Linked DNA regions of Ovis aries. The protein of the gene in region 6 purifies or fractionates together with the protein of the main gene of each other region. This does not show direct contact. Links are inferred from orthologs where the notes say so. Each region holds a gene or a part of one and is shown on either strand. Other genes may lie near its edges.

What was found.
Region 1: the proteins of FBXW7 (region 6) and MED12 purify together in Homo sapiens (affinity purification with mass spectrometry; 3 studies listed by BioGRID and IntAct, with this or other methods). This does not show direct contact. The link is inferred for Ovis aries from reciprocal best matches to the Homo sapiens genes FBXW7 and MED12.
Region 2: the proteins of FBXW7 (region 6) and MED13 purify together in Homo sapiens (affinity purification with mass spectrometry; 5 studies listed by BioGRID and IntAct, with this or other methods). This does not show direct contact. The link is inferred for Ovis aries from reciprocal best matches to the Homo sapiens genes FBXW7 and MED13.
Region 3: the proteins of FBXW7 (region 6) and RBM28 purify together in Homo sapiens (affinity purification with mass spectrometry, with the first as the bait; 3 studies listed by BioGRID). This does not show direct contact. The link is inferred for Ovis aries from reciprocal best matches to the Homo sapiens genes FBXW7 and RBM28.
Region 4: the proteins of FBXW7 (region 6) and SNX8 purify together in Homo sapiens (affinity purification with mass spectrometry; 3 studies listed by BioGRID and IntAct, counting the BioPlex papers as one, with this or other methods). This does not show direct contact. The link is inferred for Ovis aries from reciprocal best matches to the Homo sapiens genes FBXW7 and SNX8.
Region 5: the proteins of FBXW7 (region 6) and ENO1 purify together in Homo sapiens (affinity purification with western blotting; 3 studies listed by BioGRID, with this or other methods). This does not show direct contact. The link is inferred for Ovis aries from reciprocal best matches to the Homo sapiens genes FBXW7 and ENO1.
Region 7: the proteins of FBXW7 (region 6) and FMR1 purify together in Homo sapiens (affinity purification with mass spectrometry, with the first as the bait; 3 studies listed by BioGRID). This does not show direct contact. The link is inferred for Ovis aries from reciprocal best matches to the Homo sapiens genes FBXW7 and FMR1.

The regions. Positions count from the first base shown.
Region 1 is NC_056080.1:63,829,090-63,833,704, reverse strand, and holds the start of MED12 (mediator of RNA polymerase II transcription subunit 12), read right to left. Parts: upstream 2,901-4,615; 5' UTR 2,670-2,900; coding exon 2,571-2,669; intron 2,042-2,570; coding exon 1,937-2,041; intron 1,730-1,936; coding exon 1,538-1,729; intron 1,402-1,537; coding exon 1,245-1,401; intron 77-1,244; coding exon 1-76. UniProt on the Homo sapiens protein: Component of the Mediator complex, a coactivator involved in the regulated transcription of nearly all RNA polymerase II-dependent genes.
Region 2 is NC_056064.1:10,801,380-10,805,213, reverse strand, and holds part of MED13 (mediator of RNA polymerase II transcription subunit 13), read right to left. Parts: coding exon 3,343-3,834; intron 1-3,342. UniProt on the Homo sapiens protein: Component of the Mediator complex, a coactivator involved in the regulated transcription of nearly all RNA polymerase II-dependent genes.
Region 3 is NC_056057.1:94,238,290-94,242,863, forward strand, and holds the start of RBM28 (RNA-binding protein 28), read right to left. Parts: upstream 3,125-4,574; 5' UTR 3,014-3,124; coding exon 2,896-3,013; intron 1-2,895. UniProt on the Homo sapiens protein: Nucleolar component of the spliceosomal ribonucleoprotein complexes.
Region 4 is NC_056077.1:41,309,926-41,314,352, forward strand, and holds the start of SNX8 (sorting nexin-8), read left to right. Parts: upstream 1-1,508; 5' UTR 1,509-1,510; coding exon 1,511-1,604; intron 1,605-4,427. UniProt on the Homo sapiens protein: May be involved in several stages of intracellular trafficking. May play a role in intracellular protein transport from early endosomes to the trans-Golgi network.
Region 5 is NC_056065.1:43,928,655-43,932,488, forward strand, and holds part of ENO1 (alpha-enolase), read left to right. Parts: intron 1-231; coding exon 232-290; intron 291-1,883; coding exon 1,884-1,953; intron 1,954-2,412; coding exon 2,413-2,546; intron 2,547-2,931; coding exon 2,932-3,154; intron 3,155-3,834. UniProt on the Homo sapiens protein: Glycolytic enzyme the catalyzes the conversion of 2-phosphoglycerate to phosphoenolpyruvate. In addition to glycolysis, involved in various processes such as growth control, hypoxia tolerance and allergic responses.
Region 6 is NC_056070.1:5,524,302-5,528,135, forward strand, and holds part of FBXW7 (F-box/WD repeat-containing protein 7), read left to right. Parts: intron 1-1,912; coding exon 1,913-2,138; intron 2,139-3,834. UniProt on the Homo sapiens protein: Substrate recognition component of a SCF (SKP1-CUL1-F-box protein) E3 ubiquitin-protein ligase complex which mediates the ubiquitination and subsequent proteasomal degradation of target proteins.
Region 7 is NC_056080.1:87,701,208-87,705,041, forward strand, and holds part of FMR1 (fragile X messenger ribonucleoprotein 1), read right to left. Parts: coding exon 3,723-3,834; intron 3,026-3,722; coding exon 2,943-3,025; intron 663-2,942; coding exon of another isoform or gene 648-662; exon of another isoform or gene 403-647; coding exon 241-402; 3' UTR 1-240.

The DNA.
Region 1 (4,615 bases), on a different chromosome or scaffold from region 6:
GCAGGCCCTGGTCGGTAGTATTCAGCCATCTTTTGAAGCTGCTCCCATAAGCACTTGGTGATGATCTGAGTCCATTCTAGAAAAAAGATGGGAAGATGGCTATTTTACAGTGTCCCTCTGCTTAGAACACCTTCTGTCCCCCACCCCCACTCCCAGTCACCATGTTTCTAAATCCTATTCATCCCCATATAGGCTCTAGTCAAATGCCACCTTCAACAACAAGGTCCTACTGCATAGCACAGGGAACTACATTCGATATTCTATAATAAGCTATAACGGAAAAGAATGCAAAAAAGAATATAGATAAACACACATATGTATAACTGAATCACTTTGGTGTACACGAGAAACTAACACAACAGTATAAATCAACTATACTTCAACAAAATAAAACAAAACAAAACAAAACAAAAACAAATGTCACCTTCCTAAAGCCTTTCCAGGTATCCCCAAAAGAAAATAACCTTTCTGTTCACTGAAGTCTCAAAGAAACTTCTGCCTCCACTTTTTTATATTACATAATATTATTTATTTATTTTTGGCTGCTCTGGGTCTTCATTGCTGCACGCAAGCTCTCTAGTTGTGGTAAGTGGGGCTAGTCTCTAGTTGTGGAGTACAGGCTTCTCACTGCAGTGGCTTCTCTTGTAGAGCACGGGCTCTAGGGTGTGTAGGCTTCAGTAGTTGGGGCACATGGGCTCCAGAGCCCAGGCTCAATAGTTGTGGCTCACAGACTTAGCTGCTCTGAGGCATGTGGGATCTTTCCAGATCAGGGATCAAACCCATGTCTCCTGCACTGGCAGGTGGATTCTTTACCACTGAGCCACCAAGGAAGCCCCTGCCTCCACTTTTGACACTATGTTTCTATATTTAATTATGGGATTTGTACAGTGGCCTTAGCATCCCTACTAGACTATAAGCATCCTAAGAGCAGGGACTAGGTAGTGATTATCTTTATAGCCCAGTACCCACTCCAGTGTTCTTGCCTGGAGAATCCCAGGGATGGCGGAGCCTGGTGGGCTACCGTCTATGGGGTCGCACAGAGTCGGACACAACTGAAGCCACTTAGCAGCAGCAGCAGCACACATACAGTAGATACTCAAGACACTTGATGTTTACTAACTGAGTGAATGCAAGATACAAGCAGAAGCAAGGAATATAGATGAGGAAGGAGAGTAATTTCAAGGTTTCTCCACCACTCTTTGAAGTGATCAGTGGTACGTCCTCTGGTATTAGGAGTTACTCACCTGTGAAGGGGTCAATATGTCTCTTCTTAACCTTGGTCTCTGAGATTGCTGCATAGTAGGCACAGGTCATCTTAATGAGCCAGGCAGCCCGCATCACAGGCACTGTGTATTTGGCTAAATACCCAAACACTTCTTCCTTCTTACTGAAAATGGGGACCTGAATGGACATTGCAAACAGTGAGACCTCTCTCACCCCAGTGAGCTGACACCCGTGTACTTCAATCTGAAAATCAGAGGGTACTTGGTACTCACGTTCCCCCCTTTGGTCTAAAGAACAGGAAACAGTACCTCACCTTTTTGGCTAGTTGTGTGAGTGGCTTGGTGCCAGCCAGATCAGTAAACCAAGTATTAATGGCACTCTGGGATCGTGCAGTCACCAGCCAGAAGTTGTCCTTCTGGTTCACTTGGGGCTTCCTTCTACCAATGTCAGGGAGGGTGTTACAACGTAACTTCTCTGCAATGATGCTGCTGAAGTTGGAACTGATCTGAGGGAAGAAAGCTACACCTCAGGGTGGGAAGACAGAGCAGAAAGGTGGCTGTGCCTTTGATGGGCAAATGCCAGTGTGGTAGCATTAGGTTACAAAGGAAAACACCGCCAGTTAGGTCATCCCTTTACGTCTTCCCAGCCCAGGGTCTTTGCTCCCTCTCAGATTCTTCCAGCCTTTTCCTTCAGCCTGATGGGGTTGTCTCACCTTGGCAGGATTAAAGTTGACATTCTTGGCAGTGCCATGTTCATCCCCAGAGACAGCGGGCTGGTTATTGAAACCTTGTTTTACATTCAAGGCCGTTAATTCATCCTGAGGCAGGAAAACAACATTTTAGCTTTTTCCTTCCTTGGGGGAGATGGTGGTGGTGGTGGAAGAGGGCAGAAGAGAAGGGAACAAGGGTGGAAAAAAATAGGAAAATGATTGGGGAGTAGATAGCACATTATTATTTTAAAATAATCTCTTATATTAATTTGGACCCCCTCACCCCCACAGTAATAAGATTCCCAATCCCCAGAGCTCCCTCAACAGCACTCTTCCCCTGCGAGTTTACAAGCAGCCTTAGTTCATCCAGCCGCCTCAGACAACTTTCTGAGGTGTGTGTGTGTGTAGAGGGGGCGCCTCCAGCGTGGCCCCAACATCACTCCCGGTTCTAGCCCAGAAACCAGCCCCCACCTCCCCCAGGTCTTACTCTCCGATACCAGTCCACTTTACTCTTCCCCCTTTCGGGACTTGCACTCCCACAGAGCCGCCCCGCCCCCGCTTCCCCCAGCCATCAGTGCTTCCTCCTCTGCCGATCGCTGGCCCCTGGCCCCCTGGGAGCCCGAATTTCTGAACTCACCTCCTTCTGTTTGGGATCTTGAGGGTACACATCAGGAGGCCCCAGCCGCGGCCGCTTCAGGGGCCGGTGTTCGTAGCTCAAGATCCCGAAGGCCGCCATCTTGCTCAGCCCGTAACGACAGAGGCGCCAGCCGGGCCGATCGCGGGGGGGGGGGGGGGGGTGGGTAGGGGAGAGGGAGCCGAAAAGAGGGGCGGCGGTGGCGAGGACGGCAGCCGAGAGACTACAAGGGGCACGTTAGAAACTCCCGATCTTTGCCGGAAACTACCGAGGGAAACCGAGGGACGCCGGGAACCGTCTGACAATACCGACCGCGGCAGGGGCGGGCCCAGCCCGGCGTGGGGCGGAGCTCCGCGCCCCCGGAGCTTTTCGGCGCCCGCCACGGGAGGTGGATTTCACTCAGTCAAGATTCCTGCAGCGACCGCCAGTCGTGTGCTGCGCTGGGGATACGAACCTGCGAGGTGGGAGGCGGCCGAGGCGATGAGCTCCTACTGGAACTGGGTTCTCTGAGCCTCTCTCAGTTCTCGGCCTCGAATAAGGGCTAGATCGTCTGTAGGAACTCTTGCCTTTTTCAACCGCTTCTTCGTTTTTGCATCTGAAAAATAGGTATACTACTAACACCTCCTTTAAGGGACTGTTGCGAAGATTAGAAACTACATATGCATGAGAAAGCACGTGTTAAATCCTGAAAGGTCGGCTCTAATCCCTCAAGGTCTTTATGGTACATCACTGAGGTTCTTAACCGCTTGTGTTTCACAATCCCTTTAATATGCTGATGGAAGCTAAGGCCCTTCTTCCCAGAAAAAAAAATGTGCATAGAGATATACAAAATAGATACTTTCTAAGAAAAGGAGTATGTCAAGGCTGTATATTGTCACCCTGCTTATTTAACTTATATGCAGAGTACATCATGAGAAACGCTGGGCTGGAAGAAGCACAAGCTGGAGTCAAGATTGCCGGGAGAAATACCAGTAACTTCAGATAATGCAGATGACACCACCCTTATGGCAGAAAGTGAAGAACTAAAGAGCTTCTTGATGAAAGTGAAAGAGAAGAGTGAAAAAGTTGGCTTAAAGCTCAACATTCAGAAAACGAAGATCATGGCATCTGGTCCCATCACTTCATGGCAAATAGATGGAGAAACAGTGGAAGCAGCGGCTGACTATTTTGGGGGGCTCCAAAATCACTGCAGATGGTGATTGCAGCTATGAAATTAAGAGACGCTTACTCCTTGGAAGGAAAGTTATGACCAACCTAGACAGCATATTAAAAAGCAGAGACATTACTTTGTCAACAAGGGTCTAGTCAAGGCTATGATTTTTCCAGTAGTCATGTATGGATGTGAGAGTTGGACTATAAAGAAAGCTGAGCCCTGAAGAACTGATGCTTTTGAACTATGGTGTTGGAGAAGATTCTTGAGAGTCCCTTGGACTGCAAGGAGATCCAACCAGTCCATCCTAAAGGAGATCAGTCCTGGGTGTTCATCGGAAGGACTGATGGTGAAGCTGAAACTCCAATACTTTGGCCACCTGATGGGAAGAACTGACTCATTTGAAAAGACCCTGATGCTGGGAAGGGTTGAGGGTAGGAGTAGAAGGGGATGACAGAGGATGAGATGGTTGGATGGCATCACCAACTCAATGGACATGAGTTTGGGTAAACTCCAGGAGTTGGTGATGGACAGTGAGGCCTGGCATGCTGTGGTTCATGGGTTCACCAAGAGTCCAGACTGGGAGCTGAAGGGAACTGAACTGATACAGATTAGATACTTTGTAGGGAGATTCTTAGGCCCTCTCCTGAAGTTTATTCACATATCCTCTAAGGGTCCATGAACTTCAGGTTAAGAATCCTTGCTCTATGGAGAGGCACCTACTAAGTGTCAGATGCTTTTCAGACATTGTCTCTAATCCAACCCCCCTCACGCCCCTCCAAAAAAACAATGAGTTAGGGATATTATTGTATCCATTTTGTGGCCGAGGAAGCTGATTTTCAGAGTGGAAGTTCACTTGCCCTGTGTTATATGGCTACTGAGTAACAATTGAGACTAG
Region 2 (3,834 bases), on a different chromosome or scaffold from region 6:
GTTTCTGCTTTATTGACTATGCCAAAGCCTTTGACTGTGTGGATCACAACAAACTGTAGAAAATTCTGAAAGAGATGGGAATACCAGACCACCTGTCCTGCCTCTTGAGAAACCTATATGTAGGTCAGGAAGCAACAGTGAGAACTGGACATGGAACAACAGACTGGATTCAAATAGGAAAAGGAGTACGTCAAGGCTGTATATTGTCACCCCGCTTATTTAACTTATATGCAGAGTACAGCATGAGAAACGCTGGGCTGGAGGAAGCACAGGCTGGAATCAAGATTGCCGGGAGAAATAATACCTCAGATATGCAGATGACAACACCTTTGTGGTAGAAAGTGAAGAAGTAAAGAGCTTCTTGATGAAGGTGAAGAGGAGAGTGAAAAAGTTGGCTTAAAGCTCAACATTCACAAAATGAAGATCATGGCATCTGGTCCCATCACTTCATGGCAAATAGATGGGAAACAGTGGAAACAGTGGCTGACTTTATTTTGGGGGGCCCCAAAACCACTGCAGATGGTGACTGCAGCCATGAAATTAAAAGACGCTTGCTCCTTGGAAGCAAAGTTATGACCAACCTAGACAGCATATTGAAAAGCAGAGACATTACTTTGCCAACAAAGGTCTATCTAGTCAAGGCTATGGTTTTTCCAGTGGTCATGTATGGATGTGAGAGTTGGACTATAAAGAAAGCTGAGCACCGAAGAATTGATGCTTTTGAACTGTGGTGCTTTTGAACTTGAGAGTCCCTTGGACTGCAAGGAGATCCAATCAGTCCATCCTAAAGGAAATCAGTCCTGAACATTCATTGGAAGGACTGATGCTGAAGCTGAAACTCCAATACTTTGGCCACCTGATGCGAAGAGCTGACTCACTGGAAAAGACCCTGATGCTGGGAAAGATTGAGGGCAGGAGGAGAAGGCGACGACAGAGGATGAGATGGTCGGATGGCATCACCAACTCAATGGATATGGGTTTGGGTGAACTCTGGGGGTTGGTGATGGACAGGGAGGCCTGGCATGGTGCAGTTCATGGGGTCGCAAAGAGTCAGACATGACTGAGCAATTGAACTGAACTCTGCATATAAGTTAAATAAGCAGGGTTACAATATACAGCCTTGATGTACTCCTTTCCCAATTTGGAACCAGTCTGTTGTTCCATGTCCAACTCTAAACTGTTGCTTCTTGACTTGAACACAGGTTTCTCTGGAGGCAGGTAAGGTGGTCTGGTATTCCCATCTCTTGAAGAATTTTCCAGTTTGTTGTGATCCACACAGTCAAAGGCTTTAGCGTAGTCAATCAAGCAGATGTTTTTCTGGAATTCTCTTGCTTTTTATATGATCCTGCAGATGTTGGTAATTTGATCTCTGGTTCCTCTGCCTTTTCTAAATCCAGCTTGTACATCTGGAAGTTCTCAGTTCACGTACTGTTGAAGCCTAGCTTAAAGGATTTTGAGCATTATCGTGCATTTTCTATTGCTTGGCAAATACGTGCTTTTTTCTTTTTTTGAGGTATAATTGACATAATATTAGTTTCAGGTGTACAAAATGATGATGCATATGTATTGCAAAATGATCACCACAGTAAGTCCAGCTAACATCCACCAACAAATACTGTTATAAATTCTATTTTCTTGTGAAGAGACCTTTCATCACAAGAAGATGAGTTGGTTCTTAAAAACAAATAATAAAACAGAATACCACTAATGCTACTCTTATTACTACTACTGTTACTACTGCAAGTATCTGAATTCTTATTTTGTGCCAGGCACTCTGTTTTATATGGTCTCTGTTTATTTGTATTAGCTCATTTGATTCTCTCAACATTGTAAGAGGTAAATACTATCACTGACTATTTCCAAAAACTGAGACAGAGATGAAATAATTTGCCCAAGGGCATAAATTATAGTGATGGAGCCACGTTTCAAACCCAAGTAGTCAGTTCCATGGCCTATGTTCTTAATTACTACTTTAAAAATCTATGTATTAAATCTGTATCTATAGATACATTAAATCCACCAGTATACCATACTTCCTTGGTCTTCTTCATACCTCCTTAATTTCCTACCCTGGGCCCTCCTCTTCTTCCCCCTCTCTAAACGTGAGTCCTACCCTTAGACTTCTCTACCTGCAGTCACTCTCCAGGCTGTTCCATGCAGCTCCACAGTCTAAAACACTGACAGGGGCCATGTAGGCGTCACATGCTCAGTCATGTCTGACCCTTTGAGACCCCATGGAGGAAGGGTTGCGACCCCCTAACAGGCTCCACTGTCCATGCCTGGAAAATACCAGAGTGGCTTGCAATTTCCTCCTCCAAGGGATCTTCCCAATCCAGGGACTGAACTCACATCTCTTATGTCTCCTGCACTGTAGGTGGATTCTTTACCCACTGAGCTATCACTGGGAAACCCCAAAACACTACTAATACACACACACAAAATTTTTAAATCTCTAGCCCCAACCACTCCTCTCAATTTAAAACTTGTATTTCCAAATACGCATTTGGGTAAGTAAGGATCGTCTTACTTTTTTGCTCAAAACTGTCCTAGTCATCTTGGAATAAATCATGAAGGCCACAGTTAAACATGGGCCATAAGACTCCACATGACATTGGTGCTACCAGTCCTCCCATCACCCAGCTCATTCCAACAACAGTGCCTCTTTCCTGTTTCTCAAACATTAAGCACACTACTACGGTCTTTGCACCGTCTGAAAACACTTCTCTCGTTTAGCCACACAGCTTACATTCCCCCATTCTATGTAGGTCTTTGCTCAAATGCTGTCCCTCAGTAGTATCTTTTCTAAACATACCTCTAAAGTAACACATTTCTGTCCTGTCTTTTTCCACTTCTTTCCCTGCTTTTCCTTCAAAGCAGTTGTCACTATCTGATACCATATAATACTTTCACTTAAATTTGTTATTTTGAGTCTTATAGGCTCAGAAAGAGTAGGAACTATGCTTGCTTTAATATTGCAGTTTATAAAAGAACAGTCCCTGGCACATACTAGTTGCTCAATAAATATGTAATGAGTGAAAGAATTCTGAACAAAGCAGACAACCAACATTTTTCTGTTAATTAACATGTGCAAAGTACCTTTTATACTCCTACACAAGCACATAATTACAGACTTGTAATAACCATACTTTTGTTGCTGAAATTAAACTAAACTACTCGGAAGTTCTTTCTTTAAAAGTGTCATTCTTGAAGGAGTTTTAAGTGCAAATTTAAGTGTCTCTATTAGCTAAATGGGAAACTGTCTTTATTACCTTTTTCTAAGAAAGAAAAGTCATACAACTGAAACAAAATAGAGAGGAAAAATTACTTCATTAGCATACTTACCATTTCTTTTGGACCAGGGGTGTAAGCATGAACTTCTCACAAGTGCTTCATCAACTTTGCCTCCTGACATGTTATCCATGAACTGACGCCCATGTTCTAATGCAAGGTAGCAGTCATTGCAACAGTCCCGCTCTTCAACACGTACCCAATTGTTAGCTACACCAATTTTGGGAAAGGGATCTTGGTCTGCAGCTCCAAAAGGCGAAAATAAATTAGTGCACTGATCTTGTAGCAATAGTATCAATTCATCAGGCAATTTTTCGGATTCCTTTAGTCCTCCATTAACATGTTCAGCAGAAGTAGCCCTGAGAGCTTCAAAACGTTTTTCTGCTTCTTTGCCACATTCTGTGTTGCGTCCTATGATGTCTAGTTCATCTTCTAGAAATAATCCTGAATTGTTTCCAAACTTCCTGTTCATGACAGCACTGAAGCCACAAGTACACCGATACTGTGCTTCCTGTGTTGGATCTGGAATGTAAACTCCAACATCGG
Region 3 (4,574 bases), on a different chromosome or scaffold from region 6:
GAAAACGAAACAAAACTCCACACGCTCTCCTTTACGACTACACACTAACCTGCTTTAGGATGCAAGCCTTCTAACACAGGACGCTGAGCCACGTACACTGGTTAAAGTTGACACCTGGCACTAGGAAAGCATACTATATTTCTTTATCCTTGAAACTCCTTCTCACAAAAGCCTACCCACTCACCTTTCAGAAAACAAGAACAAGAAAAATCAGGGCCCCTCCTGATCAGCACAACCAAAAATAAAAAGCAGCTGAAACGTGAAGGAGTTCGCTGACAAAATAAAAGCATGTGCTCACAAAAACACCACTGTTACAAACAATTACAACAATACTGTGAAATTATTCCCATCTTAAAGAGGGTAAGTGGCACGTTCAAGTCACCACTACTGGTAAGATCTCATCCGCCACCCCCTCTCTCCCATCCTTTGAAGTGGAGTACTCAATACATTTGGCTGTCTAGACAGGAAAGCAGGTTTTTTATTGTTGCTGTTTAAAAGGAATAGGAGCTTTTGTTAAAGATGCTGACTATGTACACAGCTACAGGTAAGGTTACACGAAGCCTATATTCTCAGGACCCAAAGGAGAATTCCTATTCAAAGGCCTGCTCTTCCCTGGAATACAACCAACCATTGTAGAGCAGTGTTTCTCAGACTGGTTTGGTGACCCACAGTAACAAATGTAATTTACAGTGGACCCAGTTGTTTATATACTGAAAAAAAAAAAAAGTCTTATGAAAACTTCTCCTTTACCATATATAGATATACTCCTATTTCATTAAAAAAACAACAACAACAACAACAAACTCAAGTCATGAGCCACGCAAGACCCACAAATGGACAATGATCTGCCGTTTAAGAAACACTGCTGTACAGCACTCTCATTCTCTCATTTGCCCGGTATCTATACTTAAAATGATAAAGGCCCCAGCTGTGTGTATAGCAATCAGAGCCATGTCAATGATCTTAAATCTAATTTCTGTTACTAAGAAAACAGAAGATAATGATGGCATGATTATTAGCGCACTGTTAGCCTGCCTACTCACACACTCTGGTACCATGGGGGGAAAGAGGGGTACCCAAGATATTACTTCAAACCAGTTGCTAGCCTGAAAGGCAAGAAGGCAGCCACCTACTGCAACAGATTGATGACTTGGAAGGAAGCTAAATTTGTGTTCTGGGCAACATCAGGTGTCATGTAATACAGTCTAAGTAAGAAGAAGAAATGCTTCTACAATTAAAATCCTTACAATTCTTACTCATTCTAACACATGCTAACCCTCCTTCATAGTGATGCCATGAATATCATATACAATGAGAGGCATATGGCAGTATTCCACAAGTCAGTAAATACCTCCCACGGCTCAAGTCAAAACCCTTGGAGTCAGACTTGACACTTTTTTTCTCAGACCCCAAATCTGATCCATATTCCAATCATGTTTTACCTTCTTCGCTGCTAGAGCACATGGTCCAACCCCATGACCTTTCACCTGGATTACCACAAGAGCCTAATACCTGGTCTCCTGGCTCCTGTCCTATTCTCAACGGCCTATTCTCAGCATGGCTGCCTCAGAGAATCTTTCAAAATGCAAGGTAGATCATATTCACGGCTCCCTGCTCAAAATTAGTGGTTTCCTATCTCAGAGTAAAAGTCAAAGTCCTTTTGATGGCCTGTAAGATCCTACATGATCTGGAAGGACCAGGTGGCATCTGCTAATTCTCTTTCCTTCACTCAGTGCACTCCAGTAACCCTGGTCTCGTCTATATTCCTCCAATATACTACACACACTCCTCTTCAGTATCCTTGAGCTCCCTCTGCCTAGGCTGTTCCTCGCACTGAGAAACCCAAGTTCACTCTCTCACATCAGTAAGGTTTCCCCTGTCTATTCTTCACTCTTCTACAGCTTCCCCACCACCACCACACACACTACAGAGACTCCCTTTCTTTCTTCCCTGACTTATGTTTCTCCTCAATATCTATCACCATCGTCACTATGTATTTTGCTCATTGCCCATCTTCCACATTCTGAATTTGGTCTGTGCACTACTGTATCCCGAGGACCTACAACAGTTGCCTGGAACCTAGTATAAACATCCAATTAATATTTACGGAATACATAAATGGGGGAATGAATAACATATTGGTTAAGAGCTCCGGGTCTGGTGATCAAATTCTGAATCCAATTCTTACTAGCAATACGAACTTAAGCTGAAGTTACTAAATTTCTCTAAGCCCTAGATTTCTCATCTGTAAAATAGAGTTTACTCTCGACTCAAAAAAAGACTGATGGGGAAATTAAAGGAGCTTACAGATGAAAGTCCTCTTGCCTGGAAAATCCCACGGGCAGAGGTGCCTGGTAGGCTGCAGTCCATGGGGTCGCACAGAGTCGGACACGATTGAAGAGACTTAGCAGCAGCAGCACAGATGAAACTCAAGCACCGTACCCGGCAATCAGCTGCTTCTCAGTAAGTCTTAGTGGTGTTTTACCAAGTTCAGTTCAGTTCAGTCGCCCAGTCGTGTCTGACTCTTTGCAACCCCATGGACTGGAGCACGCCAGGCCTCCCTGTCCATCACTCTGTCCATCACGTTTATTAAGTTATTCACTAATAAATCAGATCTTGTATGTGAGCGCGAATGATAAACAGGAGCCTGGTGGGCTACAGTCCATGGGGTCGCAAAGAGTCGGACACGACTGAGCGACTTAACATAAACTTAAGGGGCTGACTTGACTTTCAGAAACGGCTCCTATGGATTTATCTAGTGTAGAGACCGTTTGGAAAAAAATTCAACTTCCAAGGCCTTTCATTTAAGGGCTCACTTAAGGCTGGGAGAATGTCCTCTGCCTCCATCCGGCTCCCAGGAACCCCAACTCTGTTCTCGATCGCCCCGCCCCCTACCTTTTTCAGTCACCACGAAGCACTGCTTGACCGGCCCCACCTGACTGAATAGTTCCTCCAGTTGCTCGCTGCGAGCCGAGGGCGGGAGGCGGCCCACAAACAGGGTTAGTCCGGCCATGAGGCCGAGAAACGCGTACGCAAGGTCGCGCACGCGAGTCAACTAACTGGCTTTAGTAAGCGGACCACGCTTACTAAAGTTGCCGTGAGACTCCGGAAGTGCGCGTCACTCAAAAGAGTCCGGAGGAAGACGTCGTAGAAAGGGAAAAACCATTCCGGAAAGGAAGAAAAATCGTGCCCCCTGAGGGCGGAGCTTCTTGAGCGAGGCTCCACCCCCTAACCCAAGTACCGCCCCCGCCTCTGTAGGGAAATTTGGCTTGGCTTAGTTTCTAGGCTTATTACAATCTAACCTGCTGGGGATCGATACCAAACTCAGCAGGGCAGGCCAGAGAAGCTGTTTTTGCTCTGGGTCAACAGGATCTGACATACAGTGGATGTTTAATAAATATTTTCTAAACTGCCTGTGTTCCAGGATCCAGGAACACCCAGATTACATGCATAAAACACAGCCATAATGCAAGTCAACACAAGTCATATATCATTCGAACAAATCTCCAGTTCTCAGAGAATATGAGACATCTGTCACACTTTAACAGATAACTGTATCTGTGCCTTTAACACTTCGCTGACAAATTATAGCTATTAAGGTTCAAATAGGCACACAGGTCACACATAATCATTCTTTCAAAAAATATTTACTGAGCTCCTACCATGTGCCAGGCACTAAAGATAAAATTGATGAGCTAAAAAAAGACAGGGCTCCTGCCTTCATGGAGAATAGTCTTGTGGAGATAGACAAACATCAGTACAAAAAAAACTTACAAGTAAACCAAAGCCTGCACCATGCAAGATCACAAGAGAACACACCCCGAACAAGCAATACATCCAGATTACACAGACCTAGAACCCAGGTCTTCCCAGAGACAGCTTTCCTCAGGTCAGCTTATTAGATGGACCCAAGGCTGTGTAATCTCACTGGCCAGGAGATCTGGGTGCTCCTGGATCCTGGAACACAGACAGTGTTTGCTACCCCATTGGGTTCAGGAACTGACCTGTGTGCAAGACTGCAGCACCCTGCAGAATATTTGTACAGAACAAAAGTACCCAATGTGATTTTTTAGTAATTACTTTTAAACGGTATAACCTGAACACAGGGCAGGTAGAACATTCAAAAAGTACAAAAGGTACAGTGAAAAGGTTTCCCTTTCTCCTCAAACCCCATCTACTTTCCACACATTTTGGATTGGTGGATAACTGGTTGATAGCGATGAGGGGAAAGGGAAAATGTTTAACATTAGATTTATGAAACCCTAACTTGAAGTATTTTATGCTTAAAAGAAAATGCCACAGTTACTTTTAAACACATAACTCAGCAGAGGAAGTATTGAAATATGAATCAGATTTATAAGGGCATGGGTTAATTCCATCCAGGATAAACAGAGACAAATAGACAAAGGAAACTGAACACTTTGAATAAAGTTGATTTGGAACTCCACATTTCTCCTTTATTTTCTCCTCCTCTCCTGCCCCCTCACCACCTTAGAAATAAACATTTCATACCCAGAGTCTAAGTTACAAGCGTCAGGGCCCTAGCTGTGGGGACACCTTCCCAGTCCTGGCTG
Region 4 (4,427 bases), on a different chromosome or scaffold from region 6:
TTGGAAGATCCCCTGGAGGAGGGCACGGTGCCCCACTCCAGTATTCTTGCCTGGAGAATCCCACGGACAGAGGAGCTTGTCAGGCTGCAGTCCATAGGTTCGCAGAGTCGGACACGACTGAAGCGACTTAGCACGCATGCATGCTGTTATTCTCGTGTAATGTCTAACTTTATGCTTGTTTAGTGCCTCACAGTTTTCAAGGTGCAGTGAGTGTTTAAGCATTGAATAAGGATCTTTTGGAGGGACACAGATATGTAGCAAATACTTCCAGGAAGTTAGAGAGATGGAGAGAGAGAGAGGGAGCGGGAGACAATGACAATGTGTGTGTGTGCGCGCCCTCGGGAGGGGAGAAAGTGCTGAGCACATCACTCGATGCAAAACCAGCTTAAAGGAAGCCTGCGGTGGCGGAAGGAGACAGTATCCCGCTGAGACTTGGGAAAGCTTCTCCATGCTGGTCTCTGGGAGAGGCACACCACTTCCTCAGTTGTGCTGGGGGACAGCATCCTTGTTGGTTGGCTCACAAAGATGTCCGGTGACTGTAGCAAAGAGAACTAGCTCCCTGGGGAGGGGATTCCTTCCTAGGACCCTGACTGGGGCTCTGGGCTCTTGATTGCTGTTACTGGCTCCCTGGGCGTTAACAGTTGTCCCGGTATTAGCAGGTCCACGGTCCTTACCTTGGGAACAAGGCCCTCCCTAACGGAGCCCCACCAGTCGCTCCAGCTTCCTCTTCGGCCTCCGCTTTTAGCTCCAGGAAGACCACAGCGTTCGCAGCTGTGCGATGCCTCGGGGCCCGTGGGCACCCGCTCCTTCCTCCCGCCGAATTCCTCATTCCTCCAGCCCCAGCTGAGGCTCTCCGCATCCCGGGATCCCTTAACCCGGCCAGGGCCGGGGGAGCGCTCTTGCGCGGCGCTCCCACAGTCTTGTTCTGGAAGTCGGGGCACCCGCTCCACTGCGTCCTCCAGATAGGGGAGGGTAGCAAATGCACAGGCCCGCCTGGCCTCCAGGGGGCAGTCCGGGGACTTGAGTGAGCGAGGGAACGACTGAATGACCAGGTGGCTAAGGGAGCGGGTGGGCGAGTCGCTGAACGAACGAGCGGATGGACCAGCGGGCGGACGACCGAGGAAGTGGGCGGGCGAGCGGACCAGAAGGTGAGAGAATAAATGGATGAGTGAGTGAGTGGGGGCCTGAGGGAAGGCAGCTGGGGGCTGACTGGGCGGGCGAGGGAGCGGCGGACGCTGGACGCTGACCGCGCGCCTGGGCCGCGCCACCTGCCCTCCGCGTGGCAGCCGAGCCGGGGCGGGGCGGGAAGAGGCGGAGAAGTGGGCGTGGCGACGTCGGGAGTGGGCGTGGCGGACCCGGGGCGTGGGCGTGGCGAGGCCGAGAGCGGGCGGGGCAGGCCCGGGGCGGGCGGGGATAGGCCGGGAGTGGGCGTGGCCAACCCTGGGCGTGGGCGGGGCGAGGCCGGGCCCAGGCCGGCGGGCGCGGAGGAAGTCACGTGGCGAGCGCTCACATGACCGGCGGCGCGATGGACCGGCTGCCCACCGCGCCCGGAGCTGCAGCTGCTGAGGCAGAGGCGGACGAGGAGGCGGACCCGCCAGCGGCAGGTATGGCAGGCGCCGCCCCCAGGCCCCGCGCGGCTCCGGCCCGCGCCCGCTGAGGCCCTGCGGCCTGCGGCTCGCTTCCTGGCCCCGGACTCCCCGCGCCTGCTGGGTCCTCCCCTCTCACGGCCCCTCCCGGTCCACGCCCAGGAGGGCGCGTGGCTCCGCGGCTCAGAACCCCAGCACCTGTCCGGGTTTGCGCCTCTCCGCGCGCTTCTGCCTGCGTCTCCCCGGGACTGTCCGGGCCCCTCGGGGCCGCAGGACCCGCCCGCCCTGCGCTTCCTGCGTGCCCATCTGCCCTCCGCGTGTCCCTGGACTTGCCGGGCCTTGGCACATACTGCGGCGGCTCAGGACTTGAGCGTTTCTTCGGCCAGCCCGCCGTGTTTCTCCGTAAGTGCTTTTCTTAGTGGGTGAGCGTGAACGCTGAGAAGCACGCGGGAGGCTTGGCTTTTCTCGGATGGTACCCCCTCTAGCCTTCCAACTGGAGGATACATGTGGGTGTGAGTTATTGCAGCTTCTTGGTGGTGGCGGCGGCACAAGTTGGAAACTCCGTTTGGAGGGTCTGGAAGGTGTCCCTGAGAAGCTCATGCTTAAAGTGAGCCCTGAAGGGCTGTAAGACGGTTGATTCCTTAGGGAGAAAAGGAGATGGGAGTGGAGTGAAGTTGCTGGGGGCTGCGGTGGGGGTGGACAGTGCTCTGGGTTGGCCTGAGTGCCCTGAAGACCCTGGGTGAATCTGCCTTTAGACACCAGACCCGCCGCTCCCCACCCTTGGCCTTCATTTCACTTGTAGCTTTGTAAGGGGTAGCGTGTGACGGCTTCCGCTCACGGTTAGAACGTTGTGTTCAGGAGGTCACACGTTTGAGCCCAGCGTGGGCCGGTCAGCCAGCCTGTTTCAGGTGCCCACACTGGACTCCTTGTCCAGGTCACTTTTGGAAACATGAGGCGTTTGAGCAGGAACGCTTCTTCCCCTGGGGATGTAAAGCAGTTCGGAGTTGCTGGATGTGGTGGTCGTTCTGGCCTCTCTTTGCAGGTGCAAGGACAGCCTGAATGTTTCCTGCAGGACTCACCCACTGGCCGCCATCATGGAGTCAGCCAGCCCCGCTGTCTGAGACTGGCAGCTGGCCTTGTTAGGGGCTGTGGTGATTTTGTTAACATTAGGCGTCCAGTTGAGGGAGGTGGCATGGTAGAGGAAAAACACAACACCAACCAAAAAAAGCACTTAAAAAAAAAAAAACAAAACTGGGAAAGCTAAAACCCAGAGGTAAGTGGCCTGCCCACAGTGGGCAGTATTAAGAGGGTATGTTGTGGTGGGGATGGTGGTTAGATGGGGTGCAATCAGAAAATACGTCTTTGAGAGTGAATTTTATCCAAACACGATATTCACTAGGGAGGAAAGGAGATGGGAGTGGAATGAAGTTGCTGGGAGCCGGGTGGGGGTGGACAGTGCTCCGGATTGGCCTGAGTGCCTTTAGACACCAGACCCGCCGCTCCCCACCCTTGGCCTTAATTTTTCCTTTCACTTGCAGCTTTGTAAGGGGTAGCGTGTGACGGCTCATGCTCATGGTTAGAACGTTGTGTTCAGGAGGTCACACGTTTGAGCCCAGCGTGGGCTGGTCAGCCAGCCTGTTTCAGGTGCCTTTGCTCAAGCAAAGGTTGATTTTGACTGTTGAAGAAGCTGTGGCTTGTGGAATTCCATCTTCGCTGGTGTTCTGCCCACACAGCCGTAGCTCACTATTAGTATTAGCTGTGGGGACCATGGGGGTCTAGGTTTTTGTAGTGCCTTTGGGATTGTCGGAAAAAACGATGTTCACTGTGGTTTTCAGGCTTAATGTTTAAAAAAAATTTTTTTTAAGTTAATTTTTTTTTGGCTGCCCTGGGTCTTTGTTGCTGAGAGAGGGCTTGCTCTAGTTGCGTGGAACAGGGGCTGCTCCTCCTTGCCGTGCGTCGGCCTCTCCTTGTGGTGGCTTCTCGCACGGTGGAGCACAGGCTCTGGGCACGGAGGCTTCAGCCGTTGCAGCAGGCTGGCTCGGTGGCTGGGGCACACGGACTCCAGTTGCCCCACAGCATGCGGAGTCCCCCCAAACCAGGGATCCAGCCTGTGTTCCCTGCATTGGCAGGCAGATTCTTATCCCCTGTACTACCAGGGGAGCCCCAAGAATCATAGCATATTCTAATCCCTGGAAGCTTAAGCGGGGAGTGTTAACTCCCTTCCTAAAAATTTAACTTTCAATTTTACAATATGTAGATAATCGCATTTCCCTTACCAAAAAAAAAAAAGCAAACACCACTGAGAACAGTGTAGATTGGCACTCACCCCCCTCTTACCAGCCTGGGATGGACCCTCTCATGCTGTTCCTGTGTTTACACTCGTGTGCTCAGACAGTGCATGCCTCCTCGCGCCTCCGCGCGTGTGTTTCCCTACGGTCGTATATTGGTTTTCTGCTGCTGCTGTAACAAAAATGGCCCCACACAAAGTGGCTTAACCAGCAGAAAGTTCTCATTTTACAGTCCAGGAGGTCTGTAGCCAGAACAGGTTTTCCTGAGCTAAAATCTGGCTGTGGGCAGGGCTACGTTCCATCCTGAGGCCCTGGGGGAGAAGCCGTGTCTTGGTCTTTCCCGCCTCCCAGATGCCTTCCGCATGATAACCCCTTGCTCCAGCTGCCCCAGGCTGCGCCGGCCTGTCCTGTCCTGTCTCTGACTCCTACTTCTGTCCACTTCTTCCACTTCTAAGGGCTCCTCGGGTCACACTGGGCCCACCTGGTCACCCAGGAGGACTCTCCCAGCAACCTGAATTGTGTCGGCTTTGAGTTCCCCTTTACTGTGTGGTCG
Region 5 (3,834 bases), on a different chromosome or scaffold from region 6:
CAGACACTGTTTGGCGGCTCTGTGTGTGGCTCTAACTCCTGGGGGTCCTAGGTAAGAGCACTCAGACTGGGCCAGAAAGCCCTCCGATTCCAGGGGGAGAGAGCCAGGGGTCCCGTTGAAGGTCTCTGGTGGGCTCTGAATATCTGGGTGAATATGGTGAGCGGTTCTCCAGCAGTGCTGCTCAAGCCTCTCTCATCAGCGTCGGTAATTTGATTTGATTATTCCTTCTAGGTGTCTCAAAGGCTGTTGAGCACATCAATAAAACTATTGCGCCTGCCCTGGTTAGCAAGGTAGGACCTGCCTCCTGATGACTAATGTATATTAATGCTATCAGAGCGCCGCCCAGTCCAGGCCGGGGGGCTTCCCTGTTTACAGAAGAGCTTATTCTGAGAGCTAAAGAAGCCGGTGGGCTTCCCTGCATGCGAATTTTGGCCTTTGCTGACCCGCCCTCTGCCTGCGTGGCCATGTCTAACAGAGCATGGAACTGGATCTGAGGGTCAGGAGGCTCCAAGAGCCTTGATGTTCCCCAGCAATGATCTTGACCTCTTGGGAGTTAAGATCAGATTTTAAGGGTGGCTCCCAGGGGTGTTGAATGTAGTACCTGTGGTGACTGACTCATTTTTCATGAGCTGTGGAATTACTTACTATATGTTTAAACAGCAGAACTCTTGTTAAATAAAATCCTATTTGGAGCCTCAATATGGCAAACAGATATAAGTAGAGTTGTTGTAGAGGAAGTGAGGCTGAGGATCTCACAGCCCAACCTGCGCAGCTATTTTTTTGTCTCTTGTATCCTCTCTCCAGCCCCTCCCTCCCAGATTCCTATGGCCTAGCCTGGCCTCATGTGTCCTCCCTGGCGTGATCCCTCTCCCAGCTCCACTCTGAGTGCCCATAGCAAGTGGCACCTCTGCTGGCTCTATTCCCAGCTTGCCTGCTGTGGCCGGCCCATGTGGCCCTCTGTGATTGGTCCCCAGGCAGAGTTTCCATCACTGCTGTGCCATTCCAGCCTCCCAGCCCCCTCCACGCACCCCTGTTCTTCATTGTGCCTCGGTACCCTCAGCTGGCACAGCTAACTTTCTTGGACATTTTCTTTTATTGGTTACTCCTGGTGGGTGTTGTCCTTGAGCCAACTGCTGGGGTGACGTCTAACTTTACCCAAAGTTGCCTTGACACAAAAGTTAAAAGATGCCAAAGTGTTAACAGGGTTTGATGGACTTAAGAGATTTTTGTTTTCTTTTTGTATTTTAGTTTTTTAATAAGAAAGATGATAAATAATTTGCTGTTGTGAAGTTTTTAAAGTAATGTTGACTTTTATTTCATTACTTTGAGCCAGTTTTTAAGATGCCAATTTGGTTACTTGATACTCTCACCAAAAGTATTCATTTTGGTCAGTTATCAGACATTTTGGGGACTTCTCTGACATTCCACACTCCCAATGCAGGGGGCCTAGGTTTGATCCCTGGTCAGAGAACTAAGGTCCCACATGCCACACACAACCTGGCCTAAAACATTAAATAAATAAAGTTGTTTTTTTTTTTTTTGGCCTTGTGGACTACCTACAAAACTTGTATCTCCCATCAGATACTCAGACATCCTCACTGAGGACCGCTGAGTGACGGCAGAAGCTGACTTTGATGAGCACGGCTCTTCAAATAAAGAATGAGTTCTGTTGTTCTACGGCCCCCAAAGTCACAGTGCTGGGAGAAGCACCTGATGCTCTTAAAGCCTGTGATGGGCAGTATTGTGTCTCCCTGTTTGCTCCTGACGTGGATAAGCACAGAACTGACCTGGGCTTTGCTGGTGGCTCTGTGACAGGAGGGCCCAGGGCATGCGGGTAGAAGCACCATTCCGTCCAGGCAGCTCACCCTCCTTTCTCCCTGCAGAAGCTGAACGTCGTGGAGCAGGAGAAGATCGACAAGCTGATGATAGAGATGGACGGCACAGAAAATAAGTGTGAGTGGCCCAAAGGGAACCTTTGCAGGATGGCCATAGCTTCTCCTAAAGACTCTTGAAGTCCCTTGGGGAGAGGTCATGTCGTCCCTAACGATGAGTTATGTGACCAGATAGCTGTGGTCCTTGCCTCATGTTCATAAATTACATCTTTGAATATCAGGAGTACAGCCAGCTGACAGCAGCAGGTGTTGAGGGTTACTCAGAAGAGGCCTGTGCTTTAGATAGTGTAGCAATTTGCAGAACTTTCTAGAGTTCCATAGACCAAAGAACGGGCTTTCTCTTTCGGTGAAGAGCAGATGAGTGTATGTGGGAAGGAGGCTGTTGCATTTCTGGTGTGATAGAGATGAAGAGGTTCGGAATACAATCCAGGGCTCACACAGTGGTGGTCCAGGCAGGAATGCCAGCTAGAGGAAGGCTGGTGGGTAAGATATACCTTCATTTAACTCTGTTCTGTTCCAGCCAAGTTTGGTGCAAACGCCATCCTGGGCGTGTCCCTGGCTGTCTGCAAGGCTGGTGCTGTGGAGAAGGGGGTACCCCTCTACCGCCACATCGCCGACTTGGCTGGCAATGCCGAGGTCATCCTGCCAGTTCCAGTGAGTAATTGCTTTGAGCTTCCCGTGTGTGGAGGAGGGAGTGTTTGCTTTCTCATGGGGACCCAAGAGCTCCCGCCTCTCCAGTTCATCCATATGTGACCCTCCAGCACAAGGGTACAAGGGGGCTCTGGGGGTCTCGGCTGCAGACAGCTCTGCCAGCGCCGGCTGACAGCGACCTTGAGCGGTGGCCCAGCTGCCCTGCACCCATCTCCTTAGTTGTCGATGGGAGAGGGACTCTGCACTTGCCTTGTTGGATTATGTGCACCTGTGGCGGTGGCTGCATTGCAGTGATGGCATGGGCTCCATGCAGGAGCTGGGCATTGGGGGCTGCTGGGGGCAGAGAGACCCTCCGGGCCGGGAGCTATACTCCTCTCTCTCCCCACAGGCTTTCAATGTCATCAACGGTGGCTCTCATGCTGGCAACAAGCTGGCCATGCAGGAGTTTATGATCCTTCCTGTTGGGGCCGAAAACTTCCGGGAGGCCATGCGCATCGGAGCAGAGGTTTACCACAACCTGAAGAACGTCATCAAGGAGAAATACGGGAAGGACGCCACCAATGTGGGAGATGAGGGCGGCTTTGCCCCCAACATCCTGGAGAACAAAGAAGGTAGCAGCTCCAGGGGAGCCCCAACCCTGGGCACCGCAGCACCCCTCCCACCCCCACCCCTGGTCTGCTGCTTTTCCACCTGCCATTCAAGTACCAAATTGAAAAACCCTTTGTGATTTAAGAAACTAGCACTTCCTTTAAAAAAGAAAGAGAAGTTTTCTTATTAATTTGACTTCTAAATGGCTGGATGATTTGCTTATACCATCCTTGCTCCTAAGCGATGGCAAAAGTGTGCGGCCTGCTCCCTGTTTAAGGATACTGGCATGCTGAGGTTTCAGGTCATTCAGCCGCAGTAATGCCGTACATGCTTTGTTTCACTTTGAATCCTTAGATTGAGAGTTGAAGAGAGGATACAGAAGTCTTAGGAGAAGAATTCATGGCTAAATTTTTTGTTTTAGAAGAAAAAGTTAGGGTTGCAAGCATATTTCATGGGCTTCAGGGATGGTTAGTGAAAGGAAATGTCCATCCTGACCTTTGGGTCCATCATACACAGTAGCTGACATTCGACTGTTTTAACTTATGAAAACTCAGCCATCTCATGTGGTTTGAATTCGGGCGCCTTTGCTGTGCAACAGTAGCCAGTGTCTTGGTCCGTATCCCTACAGGCAGTGCTTCTGAGTGAGGCCGACCCTGAGCCTGGACCCGGACAGCAGAGCCTCAGCGTGGGGCTCCCTGTCAGT
Region 6 (3,834 bases):
GTTGTACAATACTTACTGTGTCTAGTAGAGGGTGAGTGCTAATGTGCTCGTAAATTAGACTTTAATTATTCAGCTTCAGATGTTTGTCTGCTAGGAAAGCAGTGGGGTATTGCCTTAAAATCGGGCAGTTGGCATTAAGTCTCCTTCCTCATTTAATGGTGGTGTTGGCTTCCACTTTGAAACGCCTCGTTCTGTGATCTTGACGGATACCTTAGACTTCATTGTCCTAAATCTTTGATGACTCATCATGTTAAAAAAAATATTTGAGGTAGGAGGATATATTTTTGGTGGGAGGACAAATTCAGTTATTCAGGCTTCAAGCCTCTGAGTCTCTCTAGTTACCCACCCAGCACCCTTCCCCTCTCCATTGTCTCCCCTGTGTCCAGGCAAAAGCTGAGCGAGGTTTTAACTCATTGCCATTACCTGTCACCTGAACTGGTGACTGAGCTTTCATATTTGGTCACCTTGCACACAGCTGGCAGAGAACCTCCTCTGATTATGGTAGGACCACGAGCCTTTGGGAGCCTTCTGTTGCACCCTGAGTTAAGGAAGAAATCCAGTTTTCAGAATAGTTTCAGCCAATGCTAGCCTTTTTCTTCTCAGTATCTTTGCTGTTGCTTTTATTTCCTGCTACAGAGCCCTCCTATTAAAAGTCCTTTTTGTTTTCCAGTGGCGTGTCTTCATGGTACTCCTGTTAAACAGATGTGATTTCTTACCTATTTTGTCAGAAAAAGTCTCTCTGAAGCGTCCTTACAGTGAATCCACTCCAGTTTTTACTGTTCATTCTGTCCATGGCATTCTTTATTAAGAACCATTTCATTAGACATATTTCACTCAAGATTTGTAATACATCAAGAAAAGTACCTTTTTCACTTGTGACTTGAATCTGCTTTGAACAGTGTGCTCTACTGTTAAAACTGGGGGAGTTAGTATCAAGAGACCTTGCAATTCAGTTTTCAGTATGTTCTGACTTAAATGTCTCAATGCTTCCATTTTCTACTCTTCCAAACATGGAAAGTGGTCTTTCTTTATCTCTTAGGAATAACATTAAAGACACCTGAGTTTTCAGCTCTCCTTTGTAATCCAAAGGTGATTACAGTATTTGTATCACTCTTGTTTATGGAAGAGTATCACTTTAATAATCTTGGGTCAAAATTTTAAGGGATTTCTGTTGCCTCTACATGTGTATCTTCTAAAAATCTCTATATCTTAATGCCCTCGTAGCCTATTGAATATTTTAAAATATAAGCACAAGCAACCTTTGTTTGAGGACCTATTTAAAACTGGTTATTTTAACCAGAGTACATGATATAAAGCACATATCTTTAGCAGTTTAAATTCCAAATTCTGGCTTGTTTCGTTGAGACACTTCTATTGAATTTTCTCCCTAGTCATAAAGGTAATGTGTGTTCATATTAAAATTTTGGGAAATGGCAGAAAGAATAAGGAAAAAATTGAACTTTTTCAAAATATCAATGTTACTACCTATTAACATTTTATACACACTATGCACACGGGCATCTTATTTCTAAAATCAAGATCTTGTATGTATTTTGAGTTTGCCATGTGTTCTACTAATTTTTTATCTTTATCTTCCTCTGCTTCATCTTCATTGTATCTAGCTATAATACAGTAGTTTTCAAACCGCAGGACGCCAAGGTGCTCCTGGGTCCCTCATAGGTGGGGGAACCAAACAGGCAGAATCTAAGGCTTTCCAACTTCCCGTCCCAAGCAAAGTAACTCAACTTTCATGTGTTCATATAGCACATGAGGTTTGACATAGCATGTATTTATTTTGAAAACAGGTGGTTTCTGCTTAAGAAAAAGAAAAGTTTTAATGGCCACTGACTTTTTATGTATTGTTTTCCCATGATTTTAAGCTCTCATACATTTTTTCCTGTTACACCCGCAGAGTCGTTAGCGGTTCTCGAGATGCCACGCTTAGGGTTTGGGACATTGAGACAGGCCAGTGTTTACACGTGCTGATGGGTCATGTAGCAGCAGTCCGCTGCGTTCAGTATGATGGCAGGAGGGTTGTGAGCGGAGCGTATGACTTCATGGTGAAGGTGTGGGACCCAGAGACAGAGACCTGTCTGCATACGCTGCAGGGCCACACCAACAGGGTCTACTCACTGCAGGTAAGAGGCTGCGCGCGCTCGCTCCTGTGGCGCTCTTGTAACCAGTCATAATACTGTCTTAGTCCATAATCACTTCAGACTGCTGATCCAGTACAGTCCAAAACAGATGAATTATTCTGCTGTTTACATTTACTTTAAAATTGGCACGAAGAAAGCATACATGTTGAAATTATTTAAATGATTTGTTTCCATTTTTCTGTGAGTCATCTTCCTCTAAAATATAAATATTGGTCTTGGAACCTGAGATTTTGGGGCTCTAAATTTTCCTGTTAATGGGGAGATAGTCTCATAGGAAAATAGCCTGGATTTTAATAAACTCCTTAGCACAGGATTAATTTGGCCAGAAGCTGCCCCGTTGCCTTGATAGCTGGAAGTTGACGGACCATGTAATTGTGATTCTGCCCCCATTCAAAGTGGAAGTGGAGCTTTGGGCACAAAGCTGCTCTGCTGCCACAGGGCTGCTGGGTTGTGGTCATAAAGAAGGAAATTTGTCTTAAACATTTTTGGTTTGTTTTTGTTTGAACCTGATATCCTAGAATAGATTGCCATATTTTGACATAAATAACTAGATTATTAGCAGGTTTAAAAAATAGGTCTTGTTTTGTTTCCTGAAAGACATTAAAAAATACAGTTGACTCTTGAACAGTGTAGAGACACTACCCTCCACCACCACTCCAGTCAAAAATCCTTGCATAACTTGGCCCTCAGTGTCTGCAGTTCCACATCCAAGAGTTCAGCCAACCTGGGACTGTGTAGTAACATAGTAGGTATTGAGCGAAAGAAATTTTTAAGTGTAGTGGACTCTCCCAGTTCAAACCCATGTTGTGCAAGGGTCAGCTGTATTTGCTATTAGTAATACTTACATAGCTTGTTTACCAATTACTGCCCACTAGTGATCAGCAAATTAGTACATGGTCCTAGGGCTCACAGTTCTGTCCTTGGAGTATTTGTTTCTTCATGGGATTCTGTCTATGTCATGAAATATTGACATAAAATAAAGATGGCTGTTAACTTAGAAAAGGTTATTAATTTGGAGGAGAGGGAATTGGCTGCAGTTGTCTGTATGTTTTGTGATGTGTTCAGAACCTTAATGAATATAACAGCCTCATTTAAATAAACCCCTTAGATTGAGAAAATAGGTAGGAACTTTAAATCGATCTGGGAATTGGTAGATGTTTGTTGACTTCTGGTCTAGCTGGGAAGCTGGAGAAGAGTACCATAGATAGTTTGCTTTGGTTATCAAAATGCCACCACTTCTAATTCTAGATTAATTATCTGTTGGCACAGTTCCTACCTAGCATTAGGTTCCTGTAAGTGAAATTTTTATTTTACATACAGTTTAATGGAACTTACTTTGAAGTATCATGAGAGTTATCTCTAGCTCTTTCCGTGCCGTAGATGTTGATAAGCACACCTTGTATCATAAACCACATCAGTAGTTTCACCTTCCCGTTGGGAAGTAAAACTCCAATGGTAGTCCATATCGAATCATTCATAATATGTAGCTCCTAAGTGTGGCCAGATGGTCTGACAATAATACGTTCATTGTGCTTTTTTAAAAATTGTTTCTGCATCTAGTTTGAGGCCACTGGTCATGAAAAAATTCGCGTTTCTGATAGAAGCTTCTGAGAACATGCACTGGGGAGTCGTTCGGTTGCATGCAGCTTACCCTGGTACCTCATTTTGTTCCTGGCAT
Region 7 (3,834 bases), on a different chromosome or scaffold from region 6:
GCTAAGTATACTTAATTATTTAAAAGTAATGTTTCAAAAATTTTAAGACCTCATTGTGTGCAAATTTGAAAATTGCTGCTTATGGCCAATGTGAAAAAAGCAAAATTCTTAACGGAATTGTTCATTTCATGCCCTGTGCCACCTTGCCTACTATTTGTCTTTGGCCTAACAAAGTTTTCTAATATGGAATAAGAATTATGGAAATGGTATAGGGGATATATCACTCCAGAATTATGCAGTTTAGGGTACTCCATTAACAAGTGGTTGCTGGCCATCCACGGTGTCTGGCTTTTCCTTCCTCTGGTTACGATCTTTACCCGTGCGCAGCCGATTACCTTCACTGGAGGTATTCTGTAATGTTTTAGTGTGGACACTCCTTTCATTATTGCAGTCAACTCTGATCTAAAACAAGTTATAGTTGTTATATACACAGACCATATTCTGTTGTAATCTGCAATTGGCCTGACAAGAAATTTAAGCCCAAAGTGTATATTCCACATGTTAAAAGGGATTTGAATAGAAGAAGTGTGAGAAATTAAGGTCAGGTAGGAGCTTTATTTGGTTTATGATTCTAAAACACTCTTCTTCTGTAACTGGAACACCTTGGTCATCTCACTGCATCCAAAGTTAGATAAAAACTCACAATCCTACTGTGTCTTCTTCTAAGTAGAACAAAACAATGAGAAACAAATAGTTAAAATGAACTCCTATTACGGATTGCAAAATATATATGCAAAATATACAGGTCTGTTCAAAAAAATGGTTTATTCTTCAAAGATATGAAACCCAGGAGGAGAGAGACAAATTATTGTCTTCCTATTCTGACGTTACCAGAGCAATAACTTAACTCACTTATTAACTAGTCTTTAGTTGACATCTTCATTTCTATCGTAAGTATGATTAACTTTTTCTACACTGAGGGCTCCCTTTGTCTTACAACATGTGTGTGTATATAAATATACACACATACTGTATATATTCATATATATGTATATATACACACACTATATATACTCATATGAGCACTGGTTTCTAGTAGCTTATATTACCGTAAGGAAAATCAGAGATCATACAACTTAAACTCTGAAGAATAAGAATAGTACAGGGAAATTTGAAGACACTAATGCGTGGGAGAACTGGAATCCCAGGAAGAGAATAGAGATGGATATGATTTAAAAAATAATATTCTGAGATTTATATAATATTTTAAGTGCCAGCACTGAACACTTAACACTGCTAATGCAATTGTAGATGCTGTACAAAAGAAAGATAATGTTGACACACAGGCCTAAAACAATTAATGAAAGTACTGATATGCTTCAAGTACAAATGGGACTACCTATAGTCCCAAAATGGTGCACTCGAATTTCAAAGTGTGTTTAATTGTTGGTCCTGGGTGAGTGTTTTAACTGTTTGGTTGTCAACAGGGGAAATATGAAACTGGTACATAAACGCCTTATAATTTCATCAATCTCTAGGTCTAAGATATTTTCTGTGATGATCCTTAAGCACCAGCTAATAGTTAACACCTACTTATAAATGCTAGGACTTCCCTAGTGGCTCAGACGGTAAAGCATCTGTCTACAATGCCAGAGACCTAGGTTCGATCCCTGGGTTGGAAGATTCCCTGGAGAAGGAAATGGCAACCCACTCCAGTACTTCTTGCCTTGAAAATCCCATGGACGGAGGAGCTTGGTGCAGGCTACTATTCATGGGGTCGCAAAGAGTCAGGCACACCTGAGCGACTTCGTTTTCTTTCTTTCTTTCTACAAATGCTATGAATTCTAAGGAATATTCTGTCATGAAGTTTCTGCTCTTAAAATTTATGTCTCACTAATTCTAGGTACTGGTCCCAAACCAATCCATAGTCATGAAGGGACCCCCAACTACTTGGATTAAGTCTTCAGAGTTAAAGAAGCAGCCGAAGAGATCATGCGTTCTGGGAATGAGGTACCAGGGTTCAAATATTACTCTGCTGCTGCTGCTAAGTTGCTTCAGTCGTGTCTGACTCTGTGCAACCCCATAGGCGGCAGCCCACCAGGCTCCGCCATCCCTGGGATTCTCCAGGCAAGAACACTGGAGTGGGTTGCCATTTCCTTCTCCAATGCATGAAAGTGAAAAGTGAAAGTGAAGTCGCTCAGTCATGTCCGACTCTTAGCGACACTATGGACTGCAGCCTACCAGGCTCCTCCGTCCATGGGATTTTCCAGGCAAGAGTACCGGAGTGGGGTGCCATTGCCTTCTCTGAAATATCACTCTAGTGTATGCTAACTATGTGACTCAGTCTTTCTAAACTTCAGTTTACTCACCTATAAAACAGAATAATAGAACTTCTTACCTCAGGGTACTGTTGAAACATTAAGTGAGATACAATACACCCAGCCAAGATACCTGGCTGTGCTTGGGGGCTCATTTTAAAATTATGTTAACAATGTGTTCAGCACAGGTGCTGGCCACATGAGATGCGTTCTCAGGGTAGAGGTTGGCTCTAAATAGGCAGCTGACTGATTCAGCATGTACTAGCCAAGTGTCATCAGCCCTGTCTATTGTGAGCTAGATACCTTCTTTTTCTTACTTTCCAGTCAAAGAGGACACCCTATCCTTGCAACTCTGGTGAGAAGGGATGTGGGTTCCTCAGGGCTTATACAAGTCTCTCTCAGTACATTCCTGGATGTTTCTTTCCTTGGAGAATGGGGGTAGGGAGGATTACCTATGTGGTACTTAAGTCATAATGTGGTTGTCGAAATCTTTACAAATACTGAGACTGCACATTCTTTAGATACATCTTCTTTGTATACTTGTCATAAAGGACTAAAATTGACCACAAATGTAATGTTGAAAGGAAAGTATTTCACAAATACCTATATAGTATGGCAAATTCACCTAAATCTCAAACTTATGTAACTGGGACAATTTGGATGAAAAGAGGCACATAGGTTTACCTGGAGGGATCCATCTGCTGTTCTTCCTTTAGCCTCTCTTGGATTACGTGGACGATTATCTGTTCGGGAGTGATCGTCGTTTCCTATAGGGACATTTTTAAAAGGTTCAGTGGTCACTGATTCTGACATGCCTATTGTAGAGTTCTTTGTTCCCACATCCTCAATTTATTTAGACCAACCACAGAATCTAAAATATAATCAACCTAGCAATTTCAGTTACACACTGTCTAATAATCTAGCATCCAGGTGGCACTAGTGGCAAAGAACCTGCCTGCCAATGCAAGGGACATGAGACCTGAGTTCGATCACTGTGTCCGGAAGATCCCCTGGATAAGGAAATGGCTACCCACTCTAGTACTCTTGCCTGGAGAATCCCATGGACAGAGGAGCCTGGTGGGCTACAGTCCACAGGGCTACAAAGAGCTGGACATGACTAAAGCGGCTTAGTGCACAGAAGCACATGTTACAAAAAACATTCCTAAGCCATCACAGTTCTACATCAACTGTGTGATAGGTCAATCTGAACTAATGATTAGATGTGATGTTTAGAGTACCCAAAGAAGCTGAACTAGTTATCAGGGGTTATTCATATGTTTGTAAACTGTAAGGAAGCCTGTCTGATATTGCTAATTAATTACGTGAGCCTTTCTTATGGTGACCAGTACAAAATGGAAGAAATGGGGGCTTGATAGTATGTCATTGAATCACCTAGCTTTTTCATAGAACTTCAGACAGTTGTTACAATTCAGCTTCATTTCTTAAACGAAAAACCCTCTGTACCTTTGAAGCTGCCTCCACGTCCTCTTCCTCCTTGTCCTCTTCCTCCGCCGCCACGCCGCCGCCCGTCTCCTCTGCGCAGGAAGTTCTCCCTCTCTTCCTCTGTTGGAGCTAA